2 linked regions of the Caenorhabditis elegans genome follow. The protein of the gene in region 2 purifies or fractionates together with the protein of the main gene of each other region. This does not show direct contact. Each region holds a gene or a part of one and is shown on either strand. Other genes may lie near its edges.

The links.
Region 1: the proteins of asfl-1 (region 2) and T09D3.3 fractionate together in Caenorhabditis elegans (co-fractionation; one large-scale study listed by BioGRID). This does not show direct contact.

Annotation. Positions count from the first base shown.
Region 1 is NC_003283.11:5,342,557-5,359,536, forward strand, and holds T09D3.3 (EB domain-containing protein), read right to left. Parts: upstream 7,016-16,980; coding exon 6,935-7,015; intron 6,891-6,934; coding exon 6,758-6,890; intron 6,337-6,757; coding exon 5,765-6,336; intron 5,720-5,764; coding exon 5,617-5,719; intron 5,574-5,616; coding exon 5,402-5,573; intron 5,038-5,401; coding exon 4,911-5,037; intron 4,861-4,910; coding exon 4,807-4,860; intron 4,762-4,806; coding exon 4,668-4,761; intron 4,623-4,667; coding exon 4,069-4,622; intron 4,025-4,068; coding exon 3,938-4,024; downstream 1-3,937. Other genes in the region: srg-25 (Serpentine receptor class gamma), read right to left, coding at 1-180, 225-368, 940-1,158, 1,209-1,421, 1,741-1,809; srd-9 (G_PROTEIN_RECEP_F1_2 domain-containing protein), read left to right, coding at 9,227-9,417, 9,677-10,511; nhr-216 (Nuclear Hormone Receptor family), read right to left, coding at 11,506-11,601, 11,650-11,801, 11,854-11,972, 12,220-12,320, 12,389-12,484, 12,529-12,648, 13,488-13,595, 13,639-13,928 and 5 more.
Region 2 is NC_003279.8:9,648,371-9,665,350, reverse strand, and holds asfl-1 (putative histone chaperone asf-1-like protein), read right to left. Parts: upstream 7,078-16,980; coding exon 6,966-7,077; intron 6,923-6,965; coding exon 6,630-6,922; intron 6,551-6,629; coding exon of another isoform or gene 6,323-6,550; intron 6,003-6,322; coding exon 5,832-6,002; intron 5,783-5,831; coding exon 5,632-5,782; intron 5,535-5,631; coding exon 5,524-5,534; 3' UTR 5,271-5,523; downstream 1-5,270. Other genes in the region: cel-1 (mRNA guanylyltransferase), read right to left, coding at 1-40; npp-14 (Nuclear pore complex protein 14), read left to right, coding at 438-623, 668-1,613, 1,684-1,801, 1,850-2,666, 2,715-3,813, 3,953-4,557, 4,609-5,010; C03D6.9 (Aa_trans domain-containing protein), read left to right, coding at 6,323-6,550; lab-1 (Long arms of the bivalent protein 1), read left to right, coding at 7,547-7,614, 7,661-7,760, 7,807-7,929, 7,981-8,175; T05F1.11 (protein-disulfide reductase), read right to left, coding at 9,317-10,283, 10,427-10,629, 10,674-10,865, 11,338-11,785, 11,830-11,996, 12,159-12,212; T05F1.13 (F-box domain-containing protein), read right to left, coding at 12,537-12,645, 12,928-13,220, 13,538-13,847, 14,214-14,370, 14,415-14,521, 14,674-14,747; dhs-4 (Short-chain dehydrogenase/reductase 3), read left to right, coding at 16,165-16,434, 16,485-16,602, 16,652-16,725, 16,771-16,866, 16,972-16,980. UniProt on the Caenorhabditis elegans protein: Histone chaperone that facilitates histone deposition and histone exchange and removal during nucleosome assembly and disassembly.

The sequences.
Region 1 (16,980 bases), on a different chromosome or scaffold from region 2:
AATAATAATATAAATTACAAAAACTGCGCTGATAACGACAGTTGCCAATGTCAGAGATAACTCCAAACTTTTCAATTTATTCTTGAACTTTTTTGTGAGTTGATATGTTTTGATATTTGTTATCAACATAAAAATAAATGCAGAAAGACTGACAATTAGTTTGAAAAATGTTGTCCGCACCTTAAGGATCTTCGTTCTATTGGGAAATAAGTGACGTGACTTACAAAAGGTACAACTTTCACATATCCCAAGATTCCCTCGCCAACGTAAGGATCAAATCGAGTCGGTGAGATTGCAAGTTGCCACGTGAAAAGTGCAGGGCATATCAGAGAAACAATAATGACGTTATTGGTGTGCTTTTTCCAAAACTGTAAATTCAAAATTTCAATGCATTTTTTGATCTACCAAACCGTTTTTGAGTTAAACCAAAAACCTGTAAAGAGATGTGTTTGATTCCAATCTTTAATTTTTGATTTTAGTGATTACAAACAGACAGGTATTCTTAGAAAATGGCACTAATGAGTTCTTGTTTTTTAAAGCTAAATTTAATATGGAAATGTGTTACGTACTAATAACAAATGAAGATTTCAATTCCGTATTTCAAATGAGGAATTAAATAAATTAAGTCAACGGCATCATTATCGGAAAGTCGCTCCACAGTTCTACGAACTAATATTTCATTAACAATGTTTTTGAATTAAATTCGTAGAAAGCAAAACCATTTTTTTATTATTATTTTTCTTTGTAATTTATCAAAACCTTTTCAACAGCTAAATACGTTTTTTCATATTTTCCATGTTGAAATTTTTTGATAAAGCCAAAGTCATCCGATAAATAAGCTGTTAAAGTAAAGCACAAGACTAACCAAAAAATACGAAAAGCTAAAATCGAAATAAAACTAATACATACTAACGCTATTTTCAGTTACATAGGTCTTACCACTTTATGCCATATTGGGTACGCAACACAAGTGAATCTGTTAGCCGACAATAGCGATATGGAGAAGATTTTTGCGAATTGAAAATAGTTGAATCCAAACAAATACGGCGTCAAAATGTATGTTGGCTCCGGAAACCAATTCCAGAATAAAAAGCATAAAGGATTAATATATATCAATGGACGAGTCAGACCGTAGTCCAAGATAACTACTATCAAGCTCTAAACGTAAAAGTTCAGGTCCAAGAAGGTCCTTCCAAATGAAAACCCACCACAACTCCATCGAGAACATAAATTTTGAAATATGCATCTGAAAACATCTGCTCTGACTTGTGAGCTCTAAGAATTTTCAGAATTACGAAAAGGTACAGAATAGATACAGGGAGGGCATATCCGACTTGTAGAACGTACATAACAACTTGAGTACTTACAGTATTAAATTGATAGTTACAAGTTCTTATTGCAGGATCTGGTAGTTCTTCCATCTGTAATGAGTTGTGGTTCTATAATTAACTGACACACCAAAAAAAAATCGAAAAAAATATTGACAGAAAGAGACAATGCAAGTGTAGCGATGTGAAAAAAGCCAAAAGTCACATTTTCTCTTTCAGATCAAAATCGGACACTGAGTCTTGCTCATATTCACTGATAGTGAGAGTTGGTCATTGTTCCCACACCCAAATGATCAAACTTGCTACTTTTTTGTGCTTTTTACATCAGTTGCACTACGGAAATAGGAAAAATATGTAAAATAGTATACATGCCACCGGAAATTGAAAAAAAAAACACTATGCTTCTACTTACCTCTTCAAGATAGTCGAAGGAAATTATTGAAGTTTTGTTCATAATGAATAATATTATAAACAGTAGCATCAATCAATATGAATAGAAGACAAAAGTATTTAAGTAGAAAATGGTCAGGTACCTGAACCCGAGAATAAGGGATAATTGCAGATGCGAAGCTGTAATTTGAAATTTTTTATTGTTTTTCTTGAATAAAAAACATTTGGAGTTACGTAACGGAGAAGCTTTCAAGGTCTAAATGGGTATCTTTTACCATTTGAGATTGTTTATATTTGATTTTTTTAAAATCTGTAGCTGAGTATTTGAGATAGATTGTCGAGATAGACTTACACCACAGCTATTTAAAAACTCTTTATTTTTGTATTTTTATAATTCTAATTTCATTTTATAAATATTTTCAAAATTACATATTATATAATATTTACAGGTCGAACTCTAAACGTTGTTTGAAACTTTTCAAATTTTACTTAATAATGTTACAAATACGATATTTAATAATGAGAAAAAACTTTTTGAACACCCACGAAAAGGATAATCACATCAACAAGCCTAAATCAATTAAAAATACTACCTTCTAAACAGCTGAATTTTAGCTTTCTACGTCATCAAATCGTTCGAACGATGACTGGAGGAATACTTTTCATATGCATAACTTTCTAGTAACTTCAAAAACTTGTCCGAAAAATGTTCCATTCAGTTTGGTTACGTAACAGGTGTAAATTATGAAAAAAAGTTTATACGCGCCTAACTAATAACATTTACAAAGTGATTTGAAATTCCACCTGAAACTACAAAACGGGTTTTAAAATATCCAAACAAAGCTTTAAAAAAAACTTGAAGAAACATCAGTTTTCAGAACGCATGGAGTACCAGAAAACGTTGTTCTTATCGCCACCCATCACCCATAATTGAATTTCCAAAAAGCCTAACACATGTTCCTGACTTAACTCAATATATTTTTTTTGTTCCAGCGTAACTTACTTTTTGTTCTCAAAAAACTTACCTAGTTAGACAACATCCGAATAACAATTTCCCACGTTTTAAAAATCCTGCATGACTAGTCTTGTCACCAATAAATAACACAGGATGATCATTTGAACCTTAACAAAAATAAAACACCGGGATCAGATTGTGCACCTACATCAAAGTGATTTCCTGGAATCAACTTATTCGTGATCTATTGAAATAAGGAAATCAAAAAAGATTAAATGATGCAGGTGTTTCCCGAGGACTGATCAAAGAGTTCTGAAAAAAAAAACAAGTTGCGTGTCTAATTTGTAATTTATGTGATGGATGTAATAAGGCAAACATGATTGATTGATTAACGTCCGGCACGTATGTAATTTTCATGATAACTATTGTAGAAAGCACTTTTCTAGACCACTGAGATCTTTGAATGAAGGATTAGTTAAAATTATAGTAACTCCTTGCGAGTGTAGTAAATGCAATAAAAAGTTGCGCCAGTGGGGAAAGTGTAAAAACTACTCCTATGGTGCCAAAATGACCGAATATCACAATAAAACTTTTCAAAAATGTTTGGAAACTTTTTTATTTACTGTCAAAAAGTGACAATTGCCCAGTTTTTGCCACTCATATTTTTGGAAGTCGACCAAAAAAAAAATGTTCCAACATGTTTTATATTTTAATTTTATTTTAATTATTTATAAAATAACATTGTAAGGGTCGAAATAAGCGAAAGTGCTTTGGATCTCATCAAAAGCTCATATTTTTCAAAATTTTGGCAAACATCCAAAACTTGGCCGAAAATTATGAAAAATCTAAAACTTTGGAGTGTTTTATTATGAGATTCGGTCGTTTTGGTTTTCTCCCCACTGGCGCTACTCCACCTCTATCAGTTTAAACTCTGTTGATTTATATTTTTAAAATTCTGAAGGCTTTAAAAATGTTTATATAGCTGAAAAATGACATTTTTTGAATGACCAAACTGTAAACAAATAATTAATAATACTTTTTTTTAAAGTTTCTAAGATCAGATACAACAACAACAACAACAATTCTTTTGATTTTATCAGTGAAGAAACCAAAAAAATGGTGAAAAAAAATCCCGCACTCCATTTTCTAGAACATTAGAATGTGAAAATGTTCATGATAAAATCTCTCGGATTTTCAGAAATATTTTATTTGTACAAATACATAAATTCAGTCCAATAGTTCAATATCCAGCTATAAAATTTTCCTAAATTTTGCTAAATCTGTCCGTCATAAAATCGATGAAATTTGCTGCATGTGAAAAGTCATCCGTTATATCCTCTTTAAGCTTCACCTAAAAATTGTATGTAGGATAGATACATGAAGTGAATTTCAAACCTGCGCCAGCTCACTGAGAACATCCAAAAAGTTTTCAGACCGGATAACATGTCTCCCGCGAATATCACCAATAGAATTCCGCTTTTCAGTTGGCGAGGTTTTTATTCCACTCAATGGGTTATCAAATTCTTTTGAAGAGGGTGGTACATGGGGCGGAATTGTCCAAATTCCGTAGGCTGGTATCATTGGAACTTTGTTTGCTTTCATTAACATATCCGGATAGATAGGAGTTAGGTTAACCACAATTTTTGGGGTGGATGTTGTCGGTGGAAGTGTAGTTGTGGTGCTAGTACTAGTTGAAGTTGTATATGTTGTCGTAGTAGGTTCAGTTGTTGTAGATGTAACGGGTACTGGTGTAGTAGTTGTTGTAGTAGTTGTAGAACTAGATGTGGTTGGAACTAGTGTAGTTGCACTTGTTGTCGTAGATGTGGTCGTGGGGCATGGCACTGGAGTTGTTGTGAATATTGTAGTTTTTGGTTCTTTCGTTGACTTCACTCGATGTTTTGTCCAATAAGAAGGTCTAATAACTGGTGGTGATGTCACATTCTCAATGTCTGAAAACAATTGATTCGAGATGATGTCCCCTTGATATTCCCAACCGTATTTCCCCTTTCCAGCCCTCATTCTATTAGGCGTATACATTCTTCGATAGCTGATCTCATTATCTTGTTTCCCCTCCTCGCTAACGTTTGCCTAAAAATATTCAATTTTGGCACTACACTCTTTCCTCCATCTCACCTCTTCTTCAGATGACTTTGCCATCACGTTGGATTTCATTCTTGCAGCCAGATTCTGGAAGGAAAATACATGTTGTTTGGATTTTCCCAAACGGATATTCTCACCGGGTATCTCATGCAACAAGTAAATGCGGCACATTGCACGTAGCCAGCCAAACACTGACAATTGAAGCTATTGCATCGGACTTGCTGTGGAGGAATTATGAGGCAATCGACGTGGCAGGATGGCATACTGGAACATAAATTATTGATTAAATGAAAATATTCAATTAAATTTTTTTCGAATTTTATATTTAGACGTTTTGAAAATTCGAAAAAAATTTTATGGGATTGTACGAATTTAGGAGGTTGGCTGAGCTAAATGCCTTTATTTACCTGCCTGAGACCTGCCGACCTTTTTCCTTCAATTTGACATAAATTTACTTAAAAATTTACTAAATTTACTAAAGTACTAACTTTCTGATAGCAATCAATTTAATGAAAGTCAAATAACGAGATGAAAAAAGTTCTTAAATATGTGTTTTAGCAGAAGATCTGCAAGGCACGCATTTTGGCGCCTATATGGAAGAAATTTTCAGTTACATAAAAAATCATACCAATCTGGACGGCAACTTGGCTCCAAAATGTGGTTGTAGAACTGTGACTCATGCATATATTGAAGTCTAGCAACACATTGCTGACTACAATGAGGTTGGCAGGCCGGAGAGCATTGTGCCTGTGGTGCGGGATGTACAACTAAAACCAGGGGATGCGGTGGGCTTGGTGAGCCTGAAAAAAAAAATTTATTATTTTTTTACCCCTTCTACTGTACCTGGTAGCACGCTTGCTTGGATCGTAGTGGTAGGTGCTGCAAATGGTCTCCTCGGTTCACAGCATTCATTTCCACACCAGCCATCCATGCAGCTCATTGATGCCTAACGGTTTTAGATGTTTGAAGTTTTAATAAATATATATCAAACCTGAAAAAATCCACGGTGAGGTTCGATTGGAAATCTTGGCATTCCGTATAGATTCTTCTTCGATGCAATTTTCATCACTTCTTCTTTAGTCGGTTCAAGAACTACCGGTTGAGGAATTGGTAATGGAACTAATGTCGGGAAATTTGGATTAATGTGCATTTGAGGTGATATTTGTAAATTTGGAGGCGCTGTTGGAATATTAGGTTCTTGTAGAATTGGGTTAAGAAGTTGTGTTAATATTGAAGAGCCAAAGTTTTGAGACATATGTGGTGGGAGTAATGAAGAATTTGAAGTAAACATCGGAGATGACTGAGAAACTGGTACTTCAGTTTCCAAAAGTCTTGGAAAATTTGGAGATGGCTGGTAATGTTGTCGTACTGGAGATCGGAAGATTTGACGATTTTCAGTTGGAAAATGAGAAATCCGAGAAGGATATGGTGGAGTTGTCAGGATTGGAGTTTGTGTAGTTGAGTAGATGTCAATTGGTTGATAAGATGTTTCCGAATAAGTTACAGGTTTGATGATAAGAGGCGGCTGGATTCGGACTTGATGAAAAAATCGTTTTACTGGAGCTGAAATTCAAAATAGGTATAGTTTTTGAAACTGATGTGATAAATCAGAAAATTTTTTAAAAATAATCTCCTACAACTGCTAGGTATTTTCCAATATTTAGATTCTTGGCCAAGTTTTGTCAAAAAAATATTAGCTAGTTCAACAGGTGGCCAAACTTAGGCAAAGCTTAGGCAACAGGTAAGAAAGAGTTGAGCAATATTTTGGCAAGTTTAAAACCACACGAGAGAAGTTTGTTCAACATTTAAATTTGGGCAAAGCTTAAACTAGGTCTTGCCTAGTTTATAACTAAACTTCAAAAGCAAAAGTGTTGAGTTAAAAACACTATTCAATCTCTAAAAAGTTAAAAAAAGGCAAGCTACTAGATTTGACTACAAACTAGTGAGTTTTAAAATAGTTACAAAAGTTATCTGAAACCCTCACCTGTATTGTAGTTTCTTGGAGGACTTTGAACTTGAGTGACTTGAAAATTATTCAAATTTCCATTTCGATAATCTGATTTTCCTAGAGCCCAATTACTGTATTTTTCCGCAATATTTGAAACTCTATTTACTACCTGAAAATTTCCTGTGAACACAATAAAATTTTAAAAAAACGAACCGAATGATCTTGTTCAACTTTTTGTGCATTTATTGAAGCAGCAAAAAATATTACGAATTTAGTCGCACTGATAAAGCTCATAATTCACTGATTTGGAAAACGTTGAATATCAAAATGTGCCCGTTCAACTTTTGACACATTCATTTATTATTTGTTCAAATATCTTTTCGCCTCTCTCCAAATTATCTAATGAATGACAGAATATGCGTGCGTCTCCTTTAATGTTTGTATTTGGATTTGCGTAATCATTACGATTTATCTTATTACATGATCGAGGTAGAGATATTTGGAAAAGGTTGAATAATTATTGAATTTTGGGAATATGAAGGTGGAGTAGCACCTATGGATTTTTTGCCCTAAATGACAGAATCATTGTACCAAATCTAACCGTATCACCCTAATGTATAGCATTTTTCTAATTTTATTTTCAATTTTGCGATAAATAAAAAGACTGAATCAATTTAGAACTCTCGTGCAAATGAATAACCTAGGGGTTTTAAAATTATTGCATTTTCTGACTATGTTAATTTATTTATTAATTTGATCTTTTTTTGCGGAAAAAATTATAAAACCTTGTCAATTTATGTTTTTCAAATCAAAAATCAAAGATAACATAAACAAAAACCAATTAATATAAGGTAAAATGCAAAAATGCCAAAAACTAGAGAATTCATTAATGCCGGAATTCAACCTTTTTTCATGTTTGTTTTTGAAATTAAAAAAAAAATGTTTTAACTTCTAAACATAATGTTTGTTCAAATTAACCGAAACTTTGACATTTCCAAAAATTTCCAAAAATTTCAACTTTTATTATATATTGTCATATTTTGATTATTCGAAAAAATACCCTCTTGTGTAACTTTTCCTCCAATAATCTAAGTTTTCCAGATTCCAGTTTTTCAAAAACGCAACGGGACAAAAACATGACTAACTTCCGAGTATGATTGAAAAGTGATTCATAAAATCTTGAAAAAAAAAAGTTTTTTTAAACCTTTTTTAATCTTTGAAAAAAATCTAAATATATTCTCTTGATTTCATAGTCGACTAAATTCTAGTATGTGTTCGATGTTCCCAGTTTACACATTCTTGACCACAGCTAAAAGTGATCAAGCATTCTCACGATCACCACGTGCTGCTGCACAATCCGCTGACGAAAAAATTCCAAAAGAATTGCAAACATTGTCATTCTTTTCATTTTTGTTTCGGAATCAAGACACAGACTTTATTTTTAAGCAAAAATATCATTTACAAACTAATTAGCCTTTTCGAATTTTGCAAGTACAGCTGTAATCTTCTCAAAGCGTGTCGAGAGATTCTTTCTGACGATCAGAGCGTCTTCACGGAGAAAGTATTCGGATCGATACTGCTTGTCGGTTCCATCTGGAGGATTTGTGTAGATGATAGTGATACGGTCGTTTTGCTGAAAATTTTGAAAATTTTAATAAATGAAACATTGCGGCTACGTGTAATTGCTTCCAACTTTTTATCAATCGGGTAAGCTTGCATAGTCATACGTTTCACAACGATTTTAAAATAAATTTTGAAATTTAAAATTTAAAACATCAACTTCCTTCTTGATCGATAAAAAGTGGGAGATATTTCCACGTAGGCCCATATTGCCGGGTTTTGAATTTTCGGCAATTTCGACAATTTTCTTTTTTGAGTTTTGGGCAGTTTTAATTTGAAAAATTAAAATTTTTCAACGGAATACATTTCTACGCTCCGAAATGTATAGAAAGTTAAAGTTTTATACTACAATTCTCCTTTTTTGGCAAATCTTCTAATTGCCGAAAACTCAACCACCCTTGCGCTCATGCCTTTCCCCACTTACATCCTTTCCATCACACTTCACTGTGAAAAGAGCCGCTTCATTTGGATCCAGAACTCCTGTCGGAGTACTTGTTGCTTTTTTAAGCGCCGTGCTCACTCCAAACACAATACGTCTCCCGGAATTGTTCAGCAATTTGATGTGTCCAGATTGCTGAGTGATTTGCAGTTCTCTCGGAGACAAGTCGGTTGCCAATTGTCAGAAGAATGACCATTTCTGATACATCGTCAGAAGAATGACCATTTCTGATACACGCTTGACCACGGGCGACCACGTGAGTTGAAATTTTGTTTCGCAAAATTTTGGGAACAAAGTTCAAATTAAAGAATGAAGGGTACAATGTGCCAAACACGTTGTTTTTCGTCTCACGCTACTGCATTTATCCATTTCGTTTCCTTTTTTCTTTGTTTACGTCTTTTGTTTCATTCTAACAAGGTTCACACTAAACATTGAACATTTTCAGGATGATTGAAGTTATCGTTCTGATGATTTACTATGCCATCCTTGGAGCATTCGGAATAGTCCTGAATGGTCTTCTTTTGCTTTTAGCAATATTCCGATCTCCGTCTCAAATCAAAACCTACCGAATTCTAATCATCAACTTTGCACTCACGGATATGTTTTCCTCATTTCTAATGATGTTCTGTGCACCAAGGTAAGACCTAGTTTTTTACAACTTCATGCAGAAAAACATAAATCTCGACAAGGGTGGCAAATCGAGAGAACTAGTTTTTTCCGAAAACCGTCCGGTTTTGACAGCGGGCAGAACGTCCGGATAAGAGAAAATCCGAAGTCTGTGCCCTAAACCGGGATAACTTTGCAAACTTAAACTTTGAATTAGTTTAAATATTTTTTTTTTTGAAAATTTCAAGAAAATCTAGAAACCCCTTAAAGCCAAGTGAATAAATTTTCAGAATCATACCACTCGACTATGCCATGGCCCATATATTTTATGGGCTTTGTCACTTTGGACATCCATTTTTATGTTACGCATCCTGGAGTGCACTTCTTCATTTATTCATACATTCAATGTGGTCACTACTCTTATCATTTGCATATCGTAACTATATACTCTCATCTGCTCCCCCATCTACGTGGAAAGTATTCATGTTCAGTGTTTTTATATACATTCCATCATTCACTCAGTTCATTGTGCTAATGTTCACCGCCGCGGATCCTTATTTGATTTTTGGAATGTTGAAATCAAAGTTCCCAGATTATACATTTGAAATTTCAACTGTTACGGGAATATCCGATGCATTATCTCCAGCTGCTACATTTTCAATCCTAAACATGACAGTTCCAGTTTTTGCGATTTACACTGCAATCCTTGTATTTCGAAGGAAAATTCTTTGCCGTCTCGGGAAAAACACCGAGAATTTACGTTCTGAAACAAAATCCATCCACAAGCAACTGTTGAGAGCATTGACGCTGCAAGCTTGTCTTCCAGTTTTATTTGTTGGCGGAGTATTCTGCTTTTTTATCCAAGCAATCCGGCTGATTACCCACCCAATTTTTGAATGTCTGATATGTGCAATTCCTGCTCCAATCCCACTTTTATCATCTATTATTTCACTTTACCATATCCGACCCTATCGCCGGGAAATCTTGCGTATCTTTACAAGAGTAACCATTCCTATTCCACAAATTGAACCGGCTTCTTCTGCAGTTGCTCTCGCTGCTAAACATAAAATTTCTGTACTTAGCATGGGGAGGTTACATCGATTAAGTGTTCCCAACAATTCTTAAAAATTTGAAAGTTTGTTAATTTTGAGACAAATAAAGTTAATATAAAATAACGATTGTTTGTAAAAAGTCAGTCAACAATTATTTTTATGAAAGCGCTGCATTGCATAAAAAGTAAATACGTAGTACTATATGTTAATTGGGTCTCAAAAGACCCTTTACTATATTTCTGATCATTTTGTTAGTTGGTCATTTGTTTTCCAGATGTGTATTTTTTGAGATACGCCAGTTTGAAAATACTCAGTTCAGAGAGTTTTGAAGGTTATTTCATTTTTAGATCGAAAGCCACCATCAACTCCAGTGCATCCTTGTCTGACACGTCTGATACTACGGCAGCCTTTTCGTGTCCTATCAAAATTAATATAAATTAAAACATGACTCAGCTACTACTAATTGTTGCCCGAAACGTTGTGTACAGATTGAAAGATTGTAAATATGTATACCCTTTGAAGAAATGAACAAATTGAGTATATGTGCCTTTGATGTATTCTTGAAATACGGTCCTTGTACGTGCCTCTTGACTGATGTAGAAAACGAGTAGACAATGAGCAAAAGATAGGCAATGAGAAAGAGTAGGCAATGAGAAAAGGTAGTCAACGAGCAACAAGTAGGCAATGAGAACAGGAAGGCAATGAGCACAGGTAGTCAATGAGAAAGAGATAGACAAAGAGCAAGGGTAGTCAATGAGCAAGGGTAGACAATGAGAACAGGTAGTCAATGATTTTGGAGTCAATGAGTATTTGCCATGAATATATTTCTAACCGACCACAAACGCCTTTTCTGAAGATCACTTGAAAATTTCTACATGAAGTTTTTTTTTTAACTTGAACTCAAATTTTGAGCTTCGAATTAACAAAAAAAATTAATAGTACAACGTTTTATGGTATGAGAAAAATGAATTGTTGGGAAATTGCAAAAAAAAAAGAAAAAAAAGAACACACCAAAAGAAAACACAAAAACACAGTATATATTCAAAAAATACAAAAAAAAAGAAAAATTAGCTACAATTAAAATCGGTTCGTTTTTCAGATACTTTATAAATATTGAATATTTGTATTAAATCACTTTTCCTGACACGATCTGCGTGAATTTTCTGAAAATTTTATAGTATATGACTAAAAGTTTATTAAGGTCAGCATACTTTCATAGCGTTTACAACGCTCATCATTTTGAGTATTCGATTTGTATCAGTTCCTGTTTGAGATTCTTTTGTATAATAAAGATGAAGATCTGTGGCAATAGTCTCACGAAGTTGATCGAACATTTTCACTAATTCAGGAGTCACTTTTTCACCTGAAGACAAATTACATAAAGGGTTGAACATTGGTTCTATAAGGGAACAAACCTCCGTGATAAACAAGAACTTGTACCAAAATGAATGCAGTTTCAGTGTCAGAAAGTTGAAGTTCATAAAGTGGTTTGCATACTTCATCAATAATTGAATCAACATGAGCGTGGAATTCACTTTAAAAATTGTTCATTAAGAAATGAATACAGTATTTTCCCAATTACACATGATGTACTTTGACCGTTGATATATAGTTTCTATTGGGTTTTAGCAAAAAATTGCCAACTAACAAAATACGTGCAAAAAATTTTTCTAGATTTCGACAGTAGAACATGTTTTGGTAAAACTGAAGAGAACCGAAATATAAGACTTTGAAGAGCGTTGGCGGTGAAAGTCTAATAGGGAAAATGCTGTAAAACTCACGCTTTAACATAATTATTTGCTTGTTCAGTATTTATTGCAGTTTCTGGATTGATTTTGACATTTTTCCAGTCAACAGCACAATAAGAAGATAACGTGGTTTTCTGGAAAAAAATTTTACCTTATTAACTTAAGTCAAGCTTAAGTCAAACTTAAGTCAATCAAAACCTACTTTTTCAGTAATACTCTTCTCGCCAAAAATTTTCACAGACATTTGAGCGCGTTCAAGTCTATCAAACACAGTAAACGACATTTTAACAGTATCAATCTGAAAAAATTGTTTAATTTAGTACCTTAAGAATAATATCTCACTTTTTGTTCATCGGACAACTTATCGAAAAAGTCTACACATTTTACCCATTTTGAGAATTTTTCGGATTTTCGTTGAAGATGTGCTTTGCCATCGGTGAAGGCATTTATTGTATCACAAAACTGAAAATTAGAATGAATTTCTGTAAATTGGAATAGTTATTTCCCGATGTGCGCATAATCCCTCTGTGAGCACAATGAGCTCATCACAAATTAACTATGTTTGTGAGCTTATTTTCATATTTAAAATGGCTTGAAGTTCTTCTGAAATTTCAGAAAATTTCTATGAACGTTTAACATTCTGAGCAAAGATCGGGTTTAACATTTTCCAGCCTTTGAGTATCCAGATTTGGTAATTTCCATGAAATTTTGTTGTGCCAAGCTATTGTCGTCAAATCGGCAACCCGGCAAATTGTCGATCTGCCGAATTTGCCGGTAAAGCAGCAATTGCCGAAAGTTTTCGGCAAACTGTGGTTTTGCACATTTTTTTTGGGAATTTCAGAATTTCAATTTTAATCGGCAAAATTGTATGCATCATTGGAATGTTCCTACATCTACTTTGAAAAGTGAGCAAGTTCTATAAAAATATCTTAAAAACGGGAAAAAATTTCAAAAACGCCCAGTTTAAAATGTTTCCGTTTTATACAAAAATCACTCTAAAAACTTCCGGCAAATTGATGTTCGGCAAACGGTAAATCGGCAATTTGCCGAAAATAAAAATTTCCGGCAAATAGGCAAACCGGCACATTGCCGGAATTGGAAATTTCCGTCAAATTGGCAAACCGGCAATTCGCCGATGTGCCAAGTTTGTCGACAAAAAAATTTGCCGCCCACCCTGTTACATTTCACCGATTTTGCCAAAAAAAAGTTGTTTAATCATTATTGAAATCTTAAATTCAAGTAAGACTTTCAGCGTATAATACCACAATTTCAATATATTTTAAACATTTCGAACGTATCACCTTTATTTGGTTAGCTGATTGCTGATTCTGTCTATACAGAACCAAAGAATGAGTAAGTCTTTGAAGTTGATTAATTGAGCATTGATTTATCATTTCAGGAGGTGAATACTGAAATCAAAAATCTTGTTTAATTTTCTCAAAGCCATCCAACTTCTACAAATAAATGTTTCAAATCGCTAATAATTTTGTCCATTTCCTCATCGTCCCGTCTCTCCGCATCCGGATCTAACTGAGGATTGCCACGCGTCGATGAAGAGCCATCACTACAAAAAGATTCGTCCCCCTTTATCGAACCTCCCGGTTTTACAGTACTACTTCCGGCTGCCTCCTCCTCGTCAGTCAGCATCATCATGACGTTTCTCTTATTTTTACCTCGTCCCCGTCCACCACCGGAACCAGAAGAATTCTTGTTGTTGTGGCTGTCGCGATTGTATTGGACATCTGGAAATTATTTGTATGTACTTAAAGGATTTGGGGCAGTCAGAAGGACACACTTACTATCAGTTGTCATTCCGACGGCAATGCATTTTTTGTAGCGACAATCGCGACACACATTTCTGAAAAGATTCAAAAGATTATGAATCAGAATTTCATAAAAATGTATGTGTCTTAAGGATTAGGTATCCAAAAATTCTCTAAAAATAAATTACCTTCCACGCCCGTCGACATTGCATTTCTGCGTATTTGACACGCAAGTGTATTTGAGATCGAGTACAACAATCCGTCTGGAATATAGGTTGAAACCTATTATTTTAGAGACTGATAGTGAGTTCAAAGAACTGATGTCATGCAAAAAATAAAATAAAACAAATTTAAAAATTGGGACAAGAGAAAGTCAAATCGGATTTAAATGTCTCAGCGCTATACTATCGGCTTATCTCCACGTGTATGAAAAACATGGAGTCCGTCTCAATTAGTCACAGAATTCATATCAAAAATATCAAATATTTGAAAAAAAAATGTTTTTGAGCAAATTTTCTTTTAAACTTTTAAATGAACTAACTTTGTCATTAGAAAGTACAAGCATGTTTCTAAATTTCTATATAAATTTTCAAATAAAAAATTTTGAAACAAAAATTAGACAGGACATTGGCCATTCTAGATTCATACTGTGCACAATTTAAACCCAAGCCCAAACTTTTATATTTTGCGCAAAAATATTTTTTTTTTTTGCAATTTTGTGTTGTATTCCGGGTACTGAAATTAATTTAAAAAAAGTTAGAGTTTCAAGAAAAAATTTTTTAAAGCCGCTTTCATAGTATAGATATTTTGAAAGTTTCCCAAAACTTTGGCTGAAAATTTTGAAAAATCAATTCCCCAATGGTCACTTTACCGTATCCTTAAACGTGAAAAAAATGCATAAATTGTTCTTCAAACTTTTGAATCACATATGCCTAGAAAACAATTTCCAGATTAAAATTTTAGTTCAAATGTTTTAGAACAAAATTGATAGTGAAGCACCTGATAACTTCCTTTGATCGTTTAATAAGCTGTACTGGGCAGTTTTATCATTTGAAAATGCTTTACATTACAGAAGTTCATAATAAAATTTTCTTTCGGGTTTAGACCTTATTGTAAATCCACTAATAACTGTTTTGACTACTTGCACAGACGTCTGAGAATCGAGTATGAGTAACTATTCATTTTGTAAATTGCCTAATTCATTATTGTGAAATATGTCTGTTTAGATACCAATTCACCACTGTCGGCTCGTGACACCTATTGTTCTCTGTTTGAAACTTATCGCAGCGTGATAGAATATGAACGGACTGACAAAATAATATCATTGGTTTGCGAAAACATAGAAAACGAAAAAGAGAAAACAAAGAGAATTCTGAATAAAAAAACAATGACATGCAAGATTAGTTCAAATTTAAACCGAAAAAATGTGAATAGTTACACCTATTGTTACCGGAAAAATGCGGCGCACGGCCGGCAAGTTTGAACTCCAAAGTGCATTCCATGAGCTTCCAGATTGCAAACCCGACATTTTTGTTTTGGCCCATTGTTTTCCTGAAAAATGTGTTGAATTTGCAGAGCTGGCAAAATTGGTTAAGCTCACGATTTCTGGCAAGAACTGAACATGTTGATCATATGTTGGATAACTTGGAGGCTGCTCAAATGTGGGGGACCGCTCGAAACTGGAAATATCCAGATTCGCATACTCGTACCGGGGATACATCTGAAAATTTATGTTTCTGGAAGCTTATTAGAGTTTTAAAGGTTTTTTTAAGAGTGGAGATAGGGTTTTCTAATTATTCAAATAATTTTGACGAAATTTGAAACACAGAACGAAACATTTTTTGATGTGTTAATAATGACGAAGCCGTTGACTTTAAAAAAAGCTAAGGCTTATCCTTAGGTTTAAGCTTAGGCTTAGGCTAAGCTTTAGGCTTAGACTTAGGTTTTGGTTTTAAAAAGGTTTTTAGGTTTTAAAAAGACTTAGGCTTATGTTTAAGCCTAGGCTTGGCGTCACCACTGACGATATTTAGGGTTAGGATTTTCCGTTTTTTTTTATTTTTCAGGGGGTTCCTGTTTAGACTTGGCGTCAGTGGCGAGCGTGAGCTTGGGCTTAGGCTTAGCTTTGGGCTTAGGTTTAGGCTTAAGTTTTCCTTCTCCCCAGTTTAACGGGAAAAATTGGCATTTTCCAATCGGGCCTAACTTTTAAAGTTTTTCTGAAATTTTAGAAATTGGATTATTGTTAAATTCTATTCGTATTTCTGATTCTTGTTTAAAAAAGAAAGTTCTTTTTCTCAGTATTTGCAATGTATTTTCTTTAAGCAATAAACAAACGCTTGGATCGATATAAATATTGCTGCTGCTCTGCATATTTAGTACAGAAATCAGTGAGAGTACAGTAAATTAGAGTAGAAGATTCTTGTCGCCTATTTTTGAATGTGTAAAATACGATAAATGATCAGATGAGAAGTGGGTGGAGTCTATCTCCATTGGGTTATGGTTAATTTTCGTCGCTTCCGAGAAAGCTCAATCCTCTTGAAAACAAATGTTATCTCAAAGAAATTGTATCTTTTATCCCGCGCGACTTCAAAATTCGTTTTCAAAAATTGGAGTCAAATATATATGAGAAATGAGTAAAATGAGTAAAATGACTCAGAAAGTCATACCCTCTTGAGAAAATTGCGAATAGCGTAAAGCTCAGGAAAAACAAAAAATGTGCAAAAATATCGGAAGTGAAAATGATGAAAATGTGAAAGGAAGCCTAATATGCTTGATAATTTGATAATTCGGTTGGTTTGTCTGTTCTGAAAATGCAAAGGGATTTGGAATGGGTGGAGCAGAACTTAAGAACTTCTTAAGAGTGATGTATGACATTTTGGACTTTTTGAAAAAAGATTAGGATTTTCCATATCAAGATTTGAAAAGAGGGTCAATATTTGTGCTGTCTGTGGTTTTTCATTTGATTTAATGTATTGGAAGAATACGCGATTGGTACTTGCTAAGATGGAAAAAAAATGAATACAACTATTTTTTT
Region 2 (16,980 bases):
CCATTCTCGCTTTGTCAGGTGTTGGTCCTCGTGTAGCCATTTTCAGTCAATTTAAGGCAATAACGCACAGAAATCGATGGAGAAAACAAGGAATCCGATAAAATGTTTCGCAATTTCGCTAACCTCACGAAACGGACGCGTGCTGGCGCACTTTTTGACAGCTGGCGCACTTTGAGTGCAAGCTTACGCGTTTCCAGTTGTATTTTGGCGAATTTAAAGAATTTTCGAAGTGTTTCAAAATAAACGTTTGTTTTTTATTAATTGAAAGAAAATACTATATTTTTTAACTCCTTATCTATATTAAAGAACATACATCCTCTGAATTTGTTCAAAAAGCTCTTGATCGGTTTTTGAATGCCCGTTTTTTCTTATGCCAGACATCCTTTTGAACATTTTCTCCTCAATTTTTTTTACATCTATTTTTCGTGTTTTCAGAGATGTCGAACGAAGATGTTGCTGAAGACGTTTCTCAAGTCACCGACTTTCATTTCCACACTTGCCGGAAGTTTCGGCTTTTTTCATCAAAGTCAGATGGGTACAGTCAAAATGAGATAAACATTCGAAACCGAGTTGCTACGTCATCTCAATTGGGAGTTACCTTTGTAACAGTTAATTCTAATCAGGTAAAATTATGACTTGTTCAATCGTTTTCAAAATTATTTTTCAGTTATCATGCTTCCATACAAAAAGTCTTCTTGGTTACAAAATCACCCGAGAAAATATGAACGTTGAAGTTACGGATCTACCAATAAAAACAATTCGTCTTCATGGGGTCGTTTTAATCAACGACATGGGAGTTAATTCTGATGGAACAGTTCTCGGAGTTCTTCATACTAAAAACAATGACGTTTCTGTCGATGTTTTCGATATTAAGAAAATTTGTACAAGTTCAAGCATTGAACCCTTCAAGCCGTTGTGTACTACAAGAGTTGGAACTGAACAAATTAATCAAGGAAGTTGTCTCGAGTGGAATCCTGCTTTCCCAGATACATTTGCTGCTTCTTCAACAGATCGTAGCATTTTAGTCGCCAAGATTAATGTTCAAAGTCCTGCAAATCAAAAACTTGTTGGAATCGGAAAATTTGGTGCTGTCACCACGGCAATCAGTTGGAGTCCAAAAGGAAAACAGTTGACGATTGGAGATTCGCTGGGAAAAATTGTGCAGTTGAAACCCGAATTGGAGGTTGTTCGTAGTCAGCATGGACCGGAGAACAAGCCGAACTATGGAAGAATTACTGGTTTATGTTGGTTGGCTACAACAGAATGGCTGGTATCTCTTGAAAATGGAACAGATCAAGATGCTTACCTAATGCGGTGTAAAAAAGATAAACCAACCGAATGGATTCAATTTCACGAGCTCTCGTATTCCTCTTCCAAATGGCCTCTTCCTCCTCAACTGTTCCCAGCTACTCAACTTCTTGTCGACTGGAATGTTGTAATTGTCGGAAATTCGAAAACAAGTGAAATATCAACAGTTGGAAAACGAGATGACTGGCAAACATGGGTTCCTGTTGAAGGAGAAAGTATTTACTTGCCAACTACGTCTAGTGGTAAAGATACAGTTCCAATTGGAGTTGCGGTTGATCGTTCAATGACAGATGAGGTTTTACTCAGTACGTTATGTTTTTTACGGTTTCATTAATTTCGAAACTATTTTTCTACAAATGTATTCATTCTTTTCAGATCCTGACGGCTCTCAGAGACATCGCCCATCTCCTCTCGTACTTTGTTTAACAAACGACGGCATTCTCACTGCTCATCACATCATTAGCACATTTGCAGCTCATATCCCTTGTCAAATGTACGTAGTAATAAAATTTGATGAATATAATAATATTATCTTTTTCAGGTCCAGTCAAAATTTGGCGATCAATGACTTAAAGAAGCTCCAATTTGATTCACAGAAACCCATATCTGCTCCACCTTCTGATCAGACACCCGTTACAAAACCGTCTACGGTGTTTGGGCAAAAACCAGAAGCTGAAACTCTAAAATCATCTCTTGTTGGATCTCCATCATCTGTTCAGACACCTAAACCTTCATCATCACTTTTTAACCCTAAATCAATCGCAAGCAACATTGAGACATCACAGTTAACAGAATCCAAGCCATCAACTCCGGCAGCTCCAAGTTCCCAACCAAAAATTGCGTCAACACCAAAATCAGAAGCAATTCCGAAAATTTCAGACAAAACTTTGGAACATAAAAAGGCTGAACTGATTGCAACCAAAAAGCAGGTTCTTATCGAAAGAATGGATAAAATCAATGATTCAATGGCTGGAGCTAAAGATGCTACGATGAAATTATCATTTGCTGTGGGAAAAGTGAAAACTACAATTATGGAATGTGCTGATGTGGTTAGGGCATCATTAGGAGATTCTAAAGAAGTTATGGACGAACTGAAAAATCTAATTTTGTCGATCGAGCGAATGTCTGACAGAACACAACACACGGTGAAGGAAATGGATTTTGAAATCGACGAAAAAATGGAATTAGTTGCCGGAGTGGAAGATGGCAATCAAGTTTTAGAGAAGCTCAGAAATATGTCAGAAACTGAGAAGCTGATGAGATTCAACAAACTGGAGACTGCTGCCGATTTGTTAAATGGAAAATATGAAGAATGTAGCGATTTGATTAAAAAACTGAGAATGAGCTTGTCTGAGAAGGTTTGCATCGTTTCTTTACTTTTACTTATTTTAATATAATTTTTACAGGAGTCACTTCGAAAACAGGCAATATTGTCACCACTTCGTCTCAGTTCAAATCTCAATCAACTTCGCTCCGGTAGTGAAACCGAGTTGGCTCTTAAAGTTATGCGCAACGTCTCAAAAATCATCATGGATACCCGAGAGCAAATTCAGCGAACTGAATTAGAATTTGTCCGTTTCCAAAGGGACGTCAAATTTCAAAACTTCAAGAAGGGAAAGGAAAATCTGAACTTCACGCAACCACTGGAGATGAGTAGTCTAGATGGAGACGCTCCTCAAGGAAAATCTCTCACTGATGCAGAAAGTATCAAAGTAAGACAAGCACTTGTGAATCAAATTCAAAAACGAGGAATTGTGAAGACTAGAAACGTCATCGTGGAGTCTTATAAAAAGTCAGAAAATTCGGCAGCAATGAAAAATGATTTGCTCGATACTTCAAATCTTTCAAATGCAATTCTCAAGTTGAGTATGACACCAAGACGAGTTATGCCATCTTCTTCACTATTCTCTGCATCTCCATCTACACCATCCACTAAATCAGATGCAGCAACTCAAGCCGATGAACCTCCTATTGTTAAAACTGTCGTGGTAACAGTTGAATCACCAGCAAAGCCAATAGCTTCTGCTCCAGCTGTCTCTTCGCCATTGATAAAGCTCAATACAACAACTGCGACCACAACAATGACGACACCAAAAGTAACAGTTCCAAAAGAAGAAGCAAATAAAACACAAGATCAAAAACCAATCATTTCTACGCCAGCATCATCTTCCATTTTCTCTTCGGGTAGTTTGTTTGGAACAAAAACACAAACACCTTTAGTTTCCAAAGAAGAGTCTACATTAACAACTGGAGTGCCTTCTTTGATTAACAGTTCCCTGAGCATCAGTCCACAAGAAATCGAAAAAGCATCCTCGAAAGTGGAGACACTGAATAAAACTGAAGAAGTAAAAGATGAAAAATCTGAAAATGAAGTTACACCTGACTTGAAGTCTGAAGAGCCTAAATCATTAGAAACAAAAGTGAAAGAGGAGCCAAAACCAGCTGTTCAGACTCCAGTGAAAGAAGAGGAAACGGGAAGTAATATACAAAAAACACCAAGTTTTTGTAAGTTCCTTTTTTGTTGTTAAAAAAATGAGTTTCAACCAAAGAATGATATTCGATTAAATCGATGTAATTATATGAACATTATAAATGTATTGTTTCCATACTTTAATCAACTGAAATTTAAAAAAATTACTTTCAGCGTTCAACTCAACAACTACCCCAAAGTCGACTTCCTCCACCTCATCGATCTTTGGCGGTGGTCTTAAAACTCAAACTCCCAGCTCTTCCAACTCAACAAATATTTTTGGAGCTCGAACCACAACAACGGCCACCCCTACACCTGCATCGAACACGTCAAGTATTTTTGGAGGTGGCTCAAAAGCAGCAAGCTCTCCATTTGGAAGTTTTGGACAGGCTGGTTGCCAACCGGCTAAAACTTCGAACCCTGCAACATCTACTGCTTCTGTGACTTTTTCGTTTAATACTGGAGCAACGTCGGCATCAGCAAAGCCGGCAGGGTTTGGATCTTTCGGTGCAGGCGCCTCTGCTAAACCATCCTCCGTTTTCGGAGGTTCAGTGACTGCGCCTACAGTTCCAAATGTGGATGATGGAATGGAAGACGATTCAATGGCAAATGGTGGAGGTTCTGGAGGTTTTATGAGTGGACTTGGAAATGCGAGAACATCCAACACTTCTGGTGGAAATAATCCGTTTGCACCGAAGACGTCAACTGGGACATCAGCCAGTAGCAGTTCATGGCTTTTTGGTGGTGGTGGTAATCAACAACAACAGCAACAGCAAAAAGTATCGTTTCAAGAGTCTCATTGTATTGTAAGCATTTATTTCCTATTTCAGCCGTCGTTTTCTTTCAACACTGCCGGATCGTCAGCTCAACAAGCATCTGCACCTGCAACAGGAACGTCGTCAGTTTTTGGAGGAGCTCCGAAATTCGGATCGCAACCAGCATTTGGTGCTAAACCATTCGGAGGAGGGGCGAATGCAGGATTATCTAAAAATGCTTCAATCTTCGGAGGAGCAACATCTTCCACAACCAACAACCCTGCCACTGGTGGATTTGCTCAATTTGCATCAGGCCAGAAGACTTCATCTTTGTTCGGTGGAGGTGCAACTCCACAGACGAATACTTCTATCTTCGGTGGTGGAGCTAACACAACTCCAGCTCCGACATCTTCTGTGTTTGGAGGAGGAGCATCTGCCAATGCCAATAAACCGACATCTTTCACATCATGGCGATAATATATTTTTAATGTCTAACATATTGATTCATCAAACTTTAATTGTAGTTTATAGTCCATCTCCCCAATTATTTTCCCAAGTACTTGTTTTATTGATTATCTCGGACCGGTTATTTTGTTGTCTGTCGTGTTTTTGAATATTCATTTTCATAAATTTTGTCAATTAAGCTTCTTTAGAATTATCTATCCTTCAACTTCCAGGGGCGGAAACAAAGCCAGCCGAAAACACTCCTCAAAAATGATACATATCCACAGATTAAAACGAACGGAAAGCAACTTCATTTCAGAAAACTAAAATCTCCTTTAAAGGCAATTTGACATATATGACACTTTGAATAAAAAGTGAAGTAATTTTAGATGCAATTCAAAAATCTTACAGTAACTGATAGTGAGTATCGGAGATGAATAAAAATGCAAGTTAAGAAAGCAATATTTAAATACAAATTAACCAGATCTGAAATCGCGTTTTGTTGTATCGGAAAGGGGATCGACCATCGATTCGGTAGCTTTCGTATCAGTGTTTATCTGAACAAAAAGTTGATTATCTACAATCATAGGGAGATACAGACAAAACAAAAAATAATTAAAATCAATCTAACTTATGATTGAAAGTATCACTTACCACCCATTTCAACATCTCCACTTGCTCCATCGTGTTCCATACTTTCTTCTCCGTTCTTTTGCTCCGTTCCGTCATGTGCATTCGCCATTCGTTCGTTGAAGCTCTCGTTCAAGTCAACTTCTTCAGTATTGGGACCCGTCTCATCATCGTCCTGAATAACAGTAAATTATTATATTCAGATAATGCTAGATTCTACCCACCTCTTCCTCCTCGTCATCATCCTGCCCATCATCATGCAATGGCATAAGATCATCCTCATCGAATACTTTGTTTGCCTCTTCATCAACCGGCTCGGCGACTGGATCCTCATCAGTCCACCGAATTGGGAATGTGGTGACGCGAAGATCTTCGGTTTCGATTTTACGGGAAAGCTGAAAATTTTTGAAAATTCAAGGTCAAAACTGAATTATCTACATTTTTTAACTGAAGGAACTTTGAGATTAATTTAGAGCATTTCACTTTTTCCCTCTTTCCACAACAGATGGTTTATTACGTCATCCCATACAGTACATCTGTGTGCGTGAGCCCGATCGATGATGTCCATCTGCTCGACAGGTAGCGTGCACAACGTATTCAGTTCTCTCATTGTCATTGTCTCACTCTCAACTATTTTTCGTTCTTTATTTTTAATTATTTCATTAGTTTCATTGCTCGTTTAATAATATTTATTTATTTCCTTCAGATTGTGAAAATGAAAGCTACTGCAGCGCAAAATAATTCAACTCATGCTAGTGTAGCGACCAAAAATAGCAACTACAGAGGCGCTACATACATTTTCGACAAAGCTATCGGAGGAATTGTTTATGCAAGTTTTATAATTGCCGGAGCAATCGTCTTCGTTGGAAGTAAGGTGGAGGGCTTTATTGGACTCGACGAAAACCGTTCTGACGATCAGGAATGGACTGTCATTAGACAATAACTGGTGCTTGATTTATCAAAAATAATTTTGTGTGAATGACTTTTGAAATAAAGTGTTTTTTTCCTGAAAAGAACAGAACCTTTTCGATGAGCGGCTTTGCAGGCGGATTCTCTTTGAGCTCTTCGTCGGTGTACTCATTTGCCACAAACCATCCCATATTGATGAACTCCTGATCGTTGTACTTGCAACGAAGGAGAAGCACACTGACACCAACAATATCCTCGACTGGAATCTTTGAGATATCCGGGTGTTCTGCATCAAAGACAAACTTGTGACGTCCTTCAGGAATCGGGCCAACGAGCGCGGAATCGAGAACTTGGTCGAAGTCTCGGGAGGTTCCAGATCCAACGTACACCAATTCCCATTCGAGATCTGATTATTCTTAATTTTTATGCAGTGTAAATAATATACATACCATGTGGTAAGTGCTCAAAAACTTCAAAAGTGATCTCCATTTTGAACTTGTCGACAAACATCGCTGGATTATCGAGAATTTGGACTTGAACGATGTTAACACGTGAAGCCATCTGAATAAAAAGCTCAAAATTAGAAATTAGAAAGCAGATTCATAAACTGTTCAAACGATAGTTTTTAAAAACGAGAAACAAATCAAAAATCCCGTAAAAAGTGGTTGAAAACTCCAGCTGGATCCAGTAAAATAAAATGTCGAAAAACTTTTTCCAACTACCGTAGTTTTTTTGCACAGACGAAGGCTAATCGTGGTGAAACCCATTGAGAAACAAATTCCTGTTTTTTTTTTGTTTTTTATTCGCAAAAACGTTGACTTTATTTTCTCGGCTTTAAAAGGCAAAACTAAAGAAAAATAATACATTGAATTAGTAAAAAATTAATTGTTTTCAAATTATAGAAATTATTAAAACGAGCAAGTCAGGACGAAAATTAGAATTTTTGACCTCTCCAAGATGCGCGAAAATTTATTTTTCATTTTGTCTTTCTCAATTTCCCGTTTCACTCGATCCTCGACTTTATTCAACAATGGTGAGCCATAAGAAAAATGATCGTCCTCGCCCATTGTGGATCTTGAAAATCCATAAACGGCTTAGGTAAGCATTCAGAAGTTCCAATATTTCAAAAAGTGGTAATTTTTAGCTTGTTTGAGTTCAAGCGTTATGCAACAGGAATTGGCAAAGACGACGGACAAGACATCTCGTGGGTGCTGAAAGGAAATGCAAAGAACAATGTGTATCAGGTGATTCATTTTATTTTATATTTCCTACAAAGCTAACATTTAATAGGTTACTGTTGAAACTATGGAGAATTGTGAAACGGACGAGTGCAAGAAAGTGATCTGGGTGCCCGATGAGTTGGCAGAATCCACCGGAACGATGTTCGAAGATTTCAAGGAAGACCAACCTCAGGTATTTGACAAAACTTGTTTAGAATATATGTCAAGTCTGGAATTTTTCCAGGAATCTGTGTCTTCGATCAGTAATAATGAAGCAAATTGGGGGAGTTCTGTGAATGAATTGGACGAAAATTATGAAAAAATGCAGAAAGAGGAAACATTTGATCCATATGATTCGGATTCCGATACATCCGAGGATTCCGACTTCGATGAGGATTTTGAGGATTCTGATAAAACGATGTGTTCTGGTCAATCATGAAATTAACCATTAATCGAAAAACTTCAAACTCAAAAACGCTGTGAATAATTTTTTCAAGAAATAATGTAGTTTTAAATATTGTGATATACTAATGTGATATAAGAAATCTTAGTTTCTCGTTCAGATTCCCATTTATTCTCTCGAAGCATTGAATATATATATATATATATATTTATTCAAATCGTCGTAACAAAACAGAAAGTATAGAATAATCACCGGGAGAAACAGACTTGAATAATTTGAATGATCCTGTAAACCAAAAGTAGTTAAGGGGATCAAGTTGTGTGGGAAAAATAATTAAACGGGATAGAATTTAATCGTGATGCAAACATTTGACGGCTCATTGTCCCCGGAAGTAACTTGGACATACGGTTCCATAGGTGAAGATTGACTAGTAGGAAGCTTTCGTTGATTGATCCACAAGGGCACATCATGTACGGATATCTGGGCGAGCGAGCCTTCCTCACAGTTGATGCGGCATTCGGAAAGTGGTATTCACCAGACAGGATGTTGTGATAGGTCCTCAATATTTGAAGAATCCGCAGGTGTTGAACTGACTTTTGGTTCATCTGAGCTAGACGGTTTTCATATGATGAGTATGATAGATTGCAGCGTTGGAAGACTTTTCTCGAGAAAAACTTCAGTGGGAACTCCAGTTGTTTAATCATATTTTTAGAGATCGGGTTGTAGATTTCACATCCGTAGTTTAATATTGGCTGCACATAGATATTGTACAATTTGAAGTAAAGGCTGGCATTTGTTGAGCGGAAGGATCGAAGTAACTGCCGGCATTTGAGAAGGGCTAAGTTCGAAATGATGTTTATGTGCTTCTGGAAGTTCAGCTTGTCGTCGACGAAGATTCCAAGGTCTTTCACTGAGTCCTTTTTGGTGACTTTCATTCCGTTTGCATAATATTCATTTTTTGGATTCCGCTTTCCAAAGTGGATAACATTGGTTTTGTTTTCAGCAAGGTTCAATTTCCATTTTGCGCACCAATCGGTCACGACATTGATTGATTTTTGAATAGCGCTGACATTGTCACCAAGTAGCTTGATATCATCGGCGAATATCATGAAATGATTTTTATACTAACAAGTACAACATTAACCAAAAACATAAATACATACAAAAAAAAAAGAAATTATACAGACTTCCAGTGATTAACCAATGCTTGCGGGTTGTTGAGAAAACTAGACACTTGATCTCGTCCATCAACAGTAATAACTGTTCCGTTTGGCTTTATTATTATCAATGTTGGAATCGCATTTTTAGTGTTGAACTGCTGTAAATGCTTGCTTATTGGTGAGTCGAATGGCAAATGGAACCAATCGCCATGAGAACTTTGCAAATAATAATTCATCTCCTGTTCACTCCTGTCGCTTGAAATAAATAATATCTCGAAATTCTTATCTACTTGACTATAGAATTGTGCGAGAATTGGTGTAAAGTCACGAGATGGTTGACACCAATAACCGGAATAATACAATCCAATAACCTTTCCATCGAGCATTCGTTCAGAATATGATCCTGATGGATGTAGATGTCTGAAGAGAGGAACATTTTGGAGAAATGTACAATTGTTCATCTGCTCCATTTTGTTTGTTTCTTCTTTTTGCAATTTTTTTAATGCTCTCGATTTTTCCTCACGCCTTTTAATTTCAGCTTGTTCCGCTTTCTCCCTCATTTCAGCTTCTAATTTAATTTTTGCCTCTTCATTTTTTCTTTTCATTTCCATCTCCTCTTCCAAAACCCTTTTTCTTTTTTCTTCTTCCTTCAACTTTCGAACTCTTTCTGATTCCTCCGCTTTCCTCCTCTTTTCATCCTCTTCTTCTTTCTTTTTTCTTTCTTCTTCCTTTTTTCTTCGTATTTCTTCTAATCTTTCTTCCTCTTCTATTCTCCATCTTCTTTCATATTCCATTTGAACTTCTCGTTTAATTTCATCTCTCGTTCTATGCGGAAAATAGTTTGGTGCTGATTGTGAGTGTTCAATTACGGTAACATTCCGAATACTTGCACCAGATGAGTATGCAGATGCCAATATTTCTGGAGGAATTGGAGAATGTGAAGAACGGGATCTTATCAAATTTATCACCCGGTGTTGCTCTGATCTGAAAATTAAATTCAAGATTTTCCTTCATTTCATTTGCAGGTTGGGTATGAGGTATTTATTTCAAAAAGCAAGAGAAATACTATTCAAATAGGATAATAGATATATCACTAAGATTAAATATGTCCGTTTTGAAGTACTTACCTCTCAAGCATATGAGATCTCGATTCAAGAAGTGAGAGCATGTTATCAAACTTTCCAGAAAAACGACCAAATTTTCGTTCAACAGTTTCGAGCACTTCAATAATCGACATCATGTGGCTTGATCTAAACTTTCTATTCCCAAAAATTCGAGCAATTAATTGACAAATACTTTGCTCAAGCTTCTCTTTGTAGATCCGATTTTCCTACAATTGTATTTTCAAAATAATCATTACAGAACCAGACTCACAAGACTTATATTCAAAAGCAAGGCAACAAGAATATTCAAATTTGCCAAGCATTTTTCAATTTGTGGCGTTTCGACTGAAAACAAATTTTCGCAATTCACAAGTACTTCCTTCTTCGTTTCATCGTTATCAAGCAAAGCGTTTATCAGTTTTAGTAAATTTCGATTGTTTGAGTTTTCATATTCCCAAGTTGCCTGCAATAAAAATGATTGTAGAGGTGGAATGAAAATAAAAAGATTCATAAATGATTCAAAGTGCGTTTTCAATTTCAACTGGGAAAAAATATCAAACAATTAGATATCTAGCTAGATAAAAGTATAGAACAAAAAAGTTGGTTCTAGTTCTAGTCGAGCTCTAGCACGAGTAGCGCATATTTTGTACTTCGTTTATTTTGGCAAAATATTGTAATATTTAAAAGTAGAATAGCATGAATTTGTCCAGATAATAATAAGTTAACTATAAAATAACCAAAGAAAAATACCCATTTTTGGTCGAGTTCCAAAACTGGCGAAAGTGGCAAAAACTTGGTACTTGCCATTTTTGACTGCCAATAAATTTCAAAAGAAAACATTTGTTTCAATAGTTTTAATATGATATTTGGTTAAAGGACTGGATTTTAACAATTCCCCCATCAAAATTATTTTATAATGTGAGAAAAAAACTAACAATTTCAATAATCATTCCAAATGCAACATTCTTCTGTTGTTGATCAAGTTTTTCTAGAAGTGTTACAATCTCCGATGACCAAAACGTTATTTCCACTTTCTTTTTCAATTCGATAAATTTTTCACAAATTAATTTAATCTTTTGTAAAGCGAGAGAATTGTTAATTGAACAAATCCATGATGCATTATTCACTTTGTAGCGAATTTCATCATGAGCAGCAGTTGAACTTAAAATTCGAACTTGCTCGAACCCAGAACTCAGAAAACTGCAAACTTTCTGCTCTCTTCTTCCAAAATTCGAGTTTTGAATTCTTAGACCGTTTAATTTGTTTCTTGCTGATTCCAACTCAAAATGCCTTTCCTCTGAACTTAGCTTCTCATTTCGAATTTCTTCCAATTCATTATGATTGTTATATCGACTCAAACCATCTGTCAGTGATGCAATATACCTGAAAATAGTTATAAAGTATTTTATATGGGCACAATCACTAACTTTTCCTGAAATTCAATATCTCTACCAACAATGAATTGCTGAAGTTCAATAGATTCCAATAACTTTTTCTTTACCAATTCGATGAGCTCTTCTTGAATTCCAGAGACTACAGAAATCTGAGCAAATTGCACATACTCATCATTTGCTCTTTCTGGTGGATGATCATTCTGAAATAAGCTATATTTTATTTAATGAACTTCAACCGGACATGTTAAGCCTACCTTGTAGGCATGGCTTTTCTATAAGAGAACACATTTCCAACTCTTTTTTTTTGAATAAAAATTGAATAATTTCACAAAATTTACACAACTATTTATAACCTAGCCTACCTCAGACACAAGTTCGACAATTCTAAGAGGTGTTCCGTTGTTCAGATCATTCATTTTTTAAACACCAAATAAGTGGAAAAAAGATTGAAGACACAGAAAAACGTTTGTTGCAGAACCCGGAGGGTTTATCACAAAAATGTGTGTTGAATTATCGTAAACAACTCTTCGTCTTAATAGGCCAACACAGAACAAATAGAAAACTATGATAAAAGTTTATCAAAAGTTGCAATTTATTTTAAACTCAAAAAAATGTAAAATATTTTATTAACTTATAACAATTACATTGTAATTTAAAACAACAAATTGAATGAGACATAAAACAAAATTTACAAGAAACTGTGAAGTTAGCAGACAAAAATCAAAACTCTTCATGAACTATTAATAATTCCAAACCACAAAATAGAAGTGCAGATCATCACATTTGATAGTTGCCAAAGTTCCATCAGGTCGTTTAATATTTCTACCATTTAGGCAATCTATTTTCTTTCTGAATAAAAATATATTGAAAATAGATATAATAAAAGTGATTCTAGTTTTGAAATAATCAATTCTCCTATTTTTTTTTTAGATAATTGGGTGACTATATAACGGCCGTAATCACTACTATATTTTCATATGATAAAATAAAAATTCAGTAATTGTTTTGAACATTTGAAACCAATACAAACTAAAACTAAAAATCATTATTCAACTCTGATGAGAATCTCAGGCATATCTATTTAAACGACACTTCTTCAGATTAAAAAAAAATGAAAAAATAAAAACGTACTCCTCATCCTCATAAAATTGTGTTCCGGAGTTCAAATTCTTATCAAACAGTTCATATTCAATTCCATCGAAAATATTATTTCCATCTTCCCAATTCCATCCTTTGCAAAAACTAATTGAAAGCCTTTTGAGCTTCTTTTTGTCAGTTTTCATCCAAGTTTTGATAAATGAGTTCAGCCCTATGCCATTTATGTTTGGATCCTCCAGATTTATAGTTTCACAGTGGAAGTTCAAAATATTCCGATTGGTAACCCATTCGGGATATGTCAGACTCAGATGTGTGATGTTGACTTCCTGAAAAAATGTTCATTCCGATTTTTTTGTTTTCTTTGCAGCTTCGAAATGGTTGTATAGTTATTTACGGGGTTTGTCAAAACTTCAATTTAAAATAAATGTTTATAAAACCTATAAAACTCAAAAAGTGTCAAATAGTTCGGATGTGAGGCGTTTAAAGGATGAAAAATTCCCATATAATATTTTGGTTAGTTGGAATTTTGCAATTTTTGAAACTTCAAGTTTATTCAATTCAACAATATTTTCTCAATTTGTCTGAAAGTCTAATAGTAAGTTAAATTATATATAGTTTGATTTCAAAGTGATTTTGAATTTACCTTGACAAACTGAAATGATCCTCGAACTGCACAATTTATGTTTAAACAGAACAAATTTGGATTCTGTAGGAGATATTCCAAAAGATCTGAAGTAATAGCCCCTCCGGATGGGATAGATAATGTGTTGCATGAAGAAATTCCCTCCATTTTCAATAACTTCAATATTATCCCAGTGATATTTGGTGTACATTGACCAAAGTTTACATGATGAATTGATCCTGTGAACAGGTTAAGCAGATGCTCCATTACTGAGTAGAAAGTGTCGATGGGATCCATTGTGAACACTTTTATTGTGGATTTATCTATTTGACTGTAAATTTCAAAATTTAAAAATAGAGAGTATACTGATATGGATTATCCGCAGTTAATTATAGTTAAAATTGGCATTTTGTAATCAAGCTGAGTTTCATCAGTAGGGACTTTATATACAAGCTTTTTTCAAGCAAAATTTTTGAGAAACTAGTTTAAAAAATATATTTTTCCAGCTTTACTGTCCATACAATGTTCTAGTAAAAATTATTTAAAATTAATCAAAAAACTGTAAAAAAAATTTTTGGACGAGTTCAGAAATTTTTTTATTTAATTAATTTTACTATGCCATTTGATCAATTTAGCACCATAGACATAATTTTGAATCGTTTCTACACAATTTTTGAAAATAAATTGAAAATCTTACCATTTAAGCTCTCGTTCCCCAAAGACTCTCGAACAAGTCTTCGGATCCCCTGAAAATTCATCGAGTTCTTCTAGAGTTCTCTGATATACAAAAATGTGAACAAAGCTTCTTTGAAAGGGTTTGACACCAATTAAAGCCTTGGCAAGATTATTGTTTTCTGAATAAAAAATTTGATTAAAGTTGGAAACAAAAGTTTCATACCACTAGTACGTCCGAGTTCTTTGCAATTAATATAAAGCTCTTTGATTCGAGTTTTGAATGATGATATGAGATGAAACCAGGCTTCTGAGCAAAATGAGAGCTCAATTCTGAAAAAATAAATTTTAATTTAATTTAATTTAATTTATTACGATAGTAAGATGCAAGTGTTGTAAACTAAATCCTTAAAAAAATTAACACAATAAAAAATAGTACAATTTGTAGGCAACTCTGTAGAGAGCTGAATATTAAAGTAACTTACAGATCACGCGGATTTAAATTTTTTGCAACATGTTCAGTGACGTCATTTGGTAGTTGCTCGAGCTCCAAAACCATTTTTTAAATTAAGAATATGTATATGATTAGAAATATATTAAAAATTTTTCGATTTTGAGCCGGAACGCTAGAAAGGCAAGGAATCAATACAGAGAAGACAGGAGAGATGAGACAAAATAAGAGAAGAAGAGAAGTGTAGAGTCGAGGGATTGGAAAAGAATGAGAGACCCAGAGAAATTGTACCGGGGGTTTGGAAGTCGTTATGATACATATTGCATAAGAGTTCCGAGAAGAAAAAATATGTTTGATTGATTATTTGAAGGACAGAAAGTTAATAGATTCTGAGAATCCAGTTTCAAAGTTTAGATTGTCAAGAGCAAGAACTTAAAGATTTTATAAAGGAAATTATAATGTATTCTTCTCGTTATAACGTTTCAATGAAAGGGCATCAAACGTGCAATTTTGAGAGAAAATTGCCATTACTTTCAACTTGGTAGTCAAGCCTTGAACAAATGGAACAGATATTGATCAGACATTCCAAACTAATTGACATTCCAATAGACTGATAGACATGTACACGAAGGTTTCCACGAGTTGTCGCACTGTCCACACTCAGTTTTATATCCACAAATTCCTGTAGGTTTGTAAACTGACCTCCCGGTATCTATTTTTGGTGGTAATTTTGTCAGTCCCACACTATACTCAAATTTTCCGAAGTAGTTTTTTCCTTCCTCGTGCAACTTAAAAGGAAAAAGAGTTTGGATATGTCAAAAGAGATTACTCATCGGTGTCTTTGATCAGTTTCAAAACGAATTGATAAGAAATGGAAACCTACAAACACTATCAAATTGATCTAAATACATCTTTTCCAAAAACAAATGTTGAAACTACAAAAAAATAATGTTCAATGATTTATTTTTAATATTTAAAGATTTCGAATTTGAGTTTGTTTTGTAAATCTGTAAACATAATTTCTTGCGTTAAGTTGGACATTAGAGGATAGAATTTTTGAACAAATGGTTCCAATTCCTTGAACAATACCTCTTTTTTCATAAATGCACAAACGTCAAGAACGAATTTTTGTGGACTATACTCCAGGTTTGACTATAACATTTTTCTATTTTCTCTGAACTTGCCGACAAACAATTGGCGTGGGGAACACTATTTGACAAGTTCTTTGATCTTTTGTAGACCAAACAATAAACTTGAGAACATCGTAAAAAAAGTGTTCCTAGACATTTACTTCGACGTAGGCCTCTTGAAAGCCTTAGGATTGTCTGTGAAATGATGTTTGCACGAGCATAAAACTGTATTCTCATCAGAGACCCATTATTCGTCTATTTCCAGTGTCTCCTACCCCATAAACCATTCCTTTTTATCTATAATCTCTCTATTACCTTTTTATCTTTCTTTTGCTATCTCTTAGACAATCATTTGGGGTATTCTCATTGTGGTCTACATTTCAAAGACCTTGGAAATGTTCGATATTATTCTAGAAATTGTCATTTTACTATTCAATCTTCTTATACAAAACTTGATTTCCTTAATCAAATACGCTCTACCTTATTCTCTTCTCCCCAAAAAAGATTTATATCGTAAGAAAGTTTTGATCACTGGAGCTGGAAATGGTCTAGGAAAACTGTTGGCTCAAAAGTTTGCTGCTCGAGGAGCCACTTTGATTCTTTGGGACATAAATCTTCAATCAGTCGACGAATTGAAAAACGAGATTAGAGGAAATCAAGGAGAAGTATGTGATCAATATTAAATTTTCAATTTATAAATTCTTCACATTTCCAGGCCCACTCTTATGAGGTTAATTTATGTGACCCCGGAAAAATTGCACAAGTTGGTCAACAAGTAATAAATGATATAGGAAAAGTTGACATTTTGGTGAATAATGCTGGAATTGCAACAGGTGCGAGATATTGAAAATTATATAAAATCTTTATTTTTTTATGTTTCAGCAAAAATGATATTGGATAGCAGTGAAAATGAGATAAATAGATCGTTCGATGTGAATGTGAAAGCACATTTTTATGTAAGTGAATTTAAAGTTATAATTTAAAATATTAAATAAATACAGACAGTTCAACAATTTCTGCCAGCAATGCTGAAAGACAATAATGGACATATTGTCACAATTGCTTCAGCAGCCGGTAAAATGGGATCTTCTGGTCTAGTAAGTTATCGTTTGTTTGTTTGAGTATCATTTCTTGGCATCGTTCTGTCATACTTGAACAAATTCTTTGTAAAGAATTTGTAAATAAAAACTCTTATATTTAAGGCTGATTAC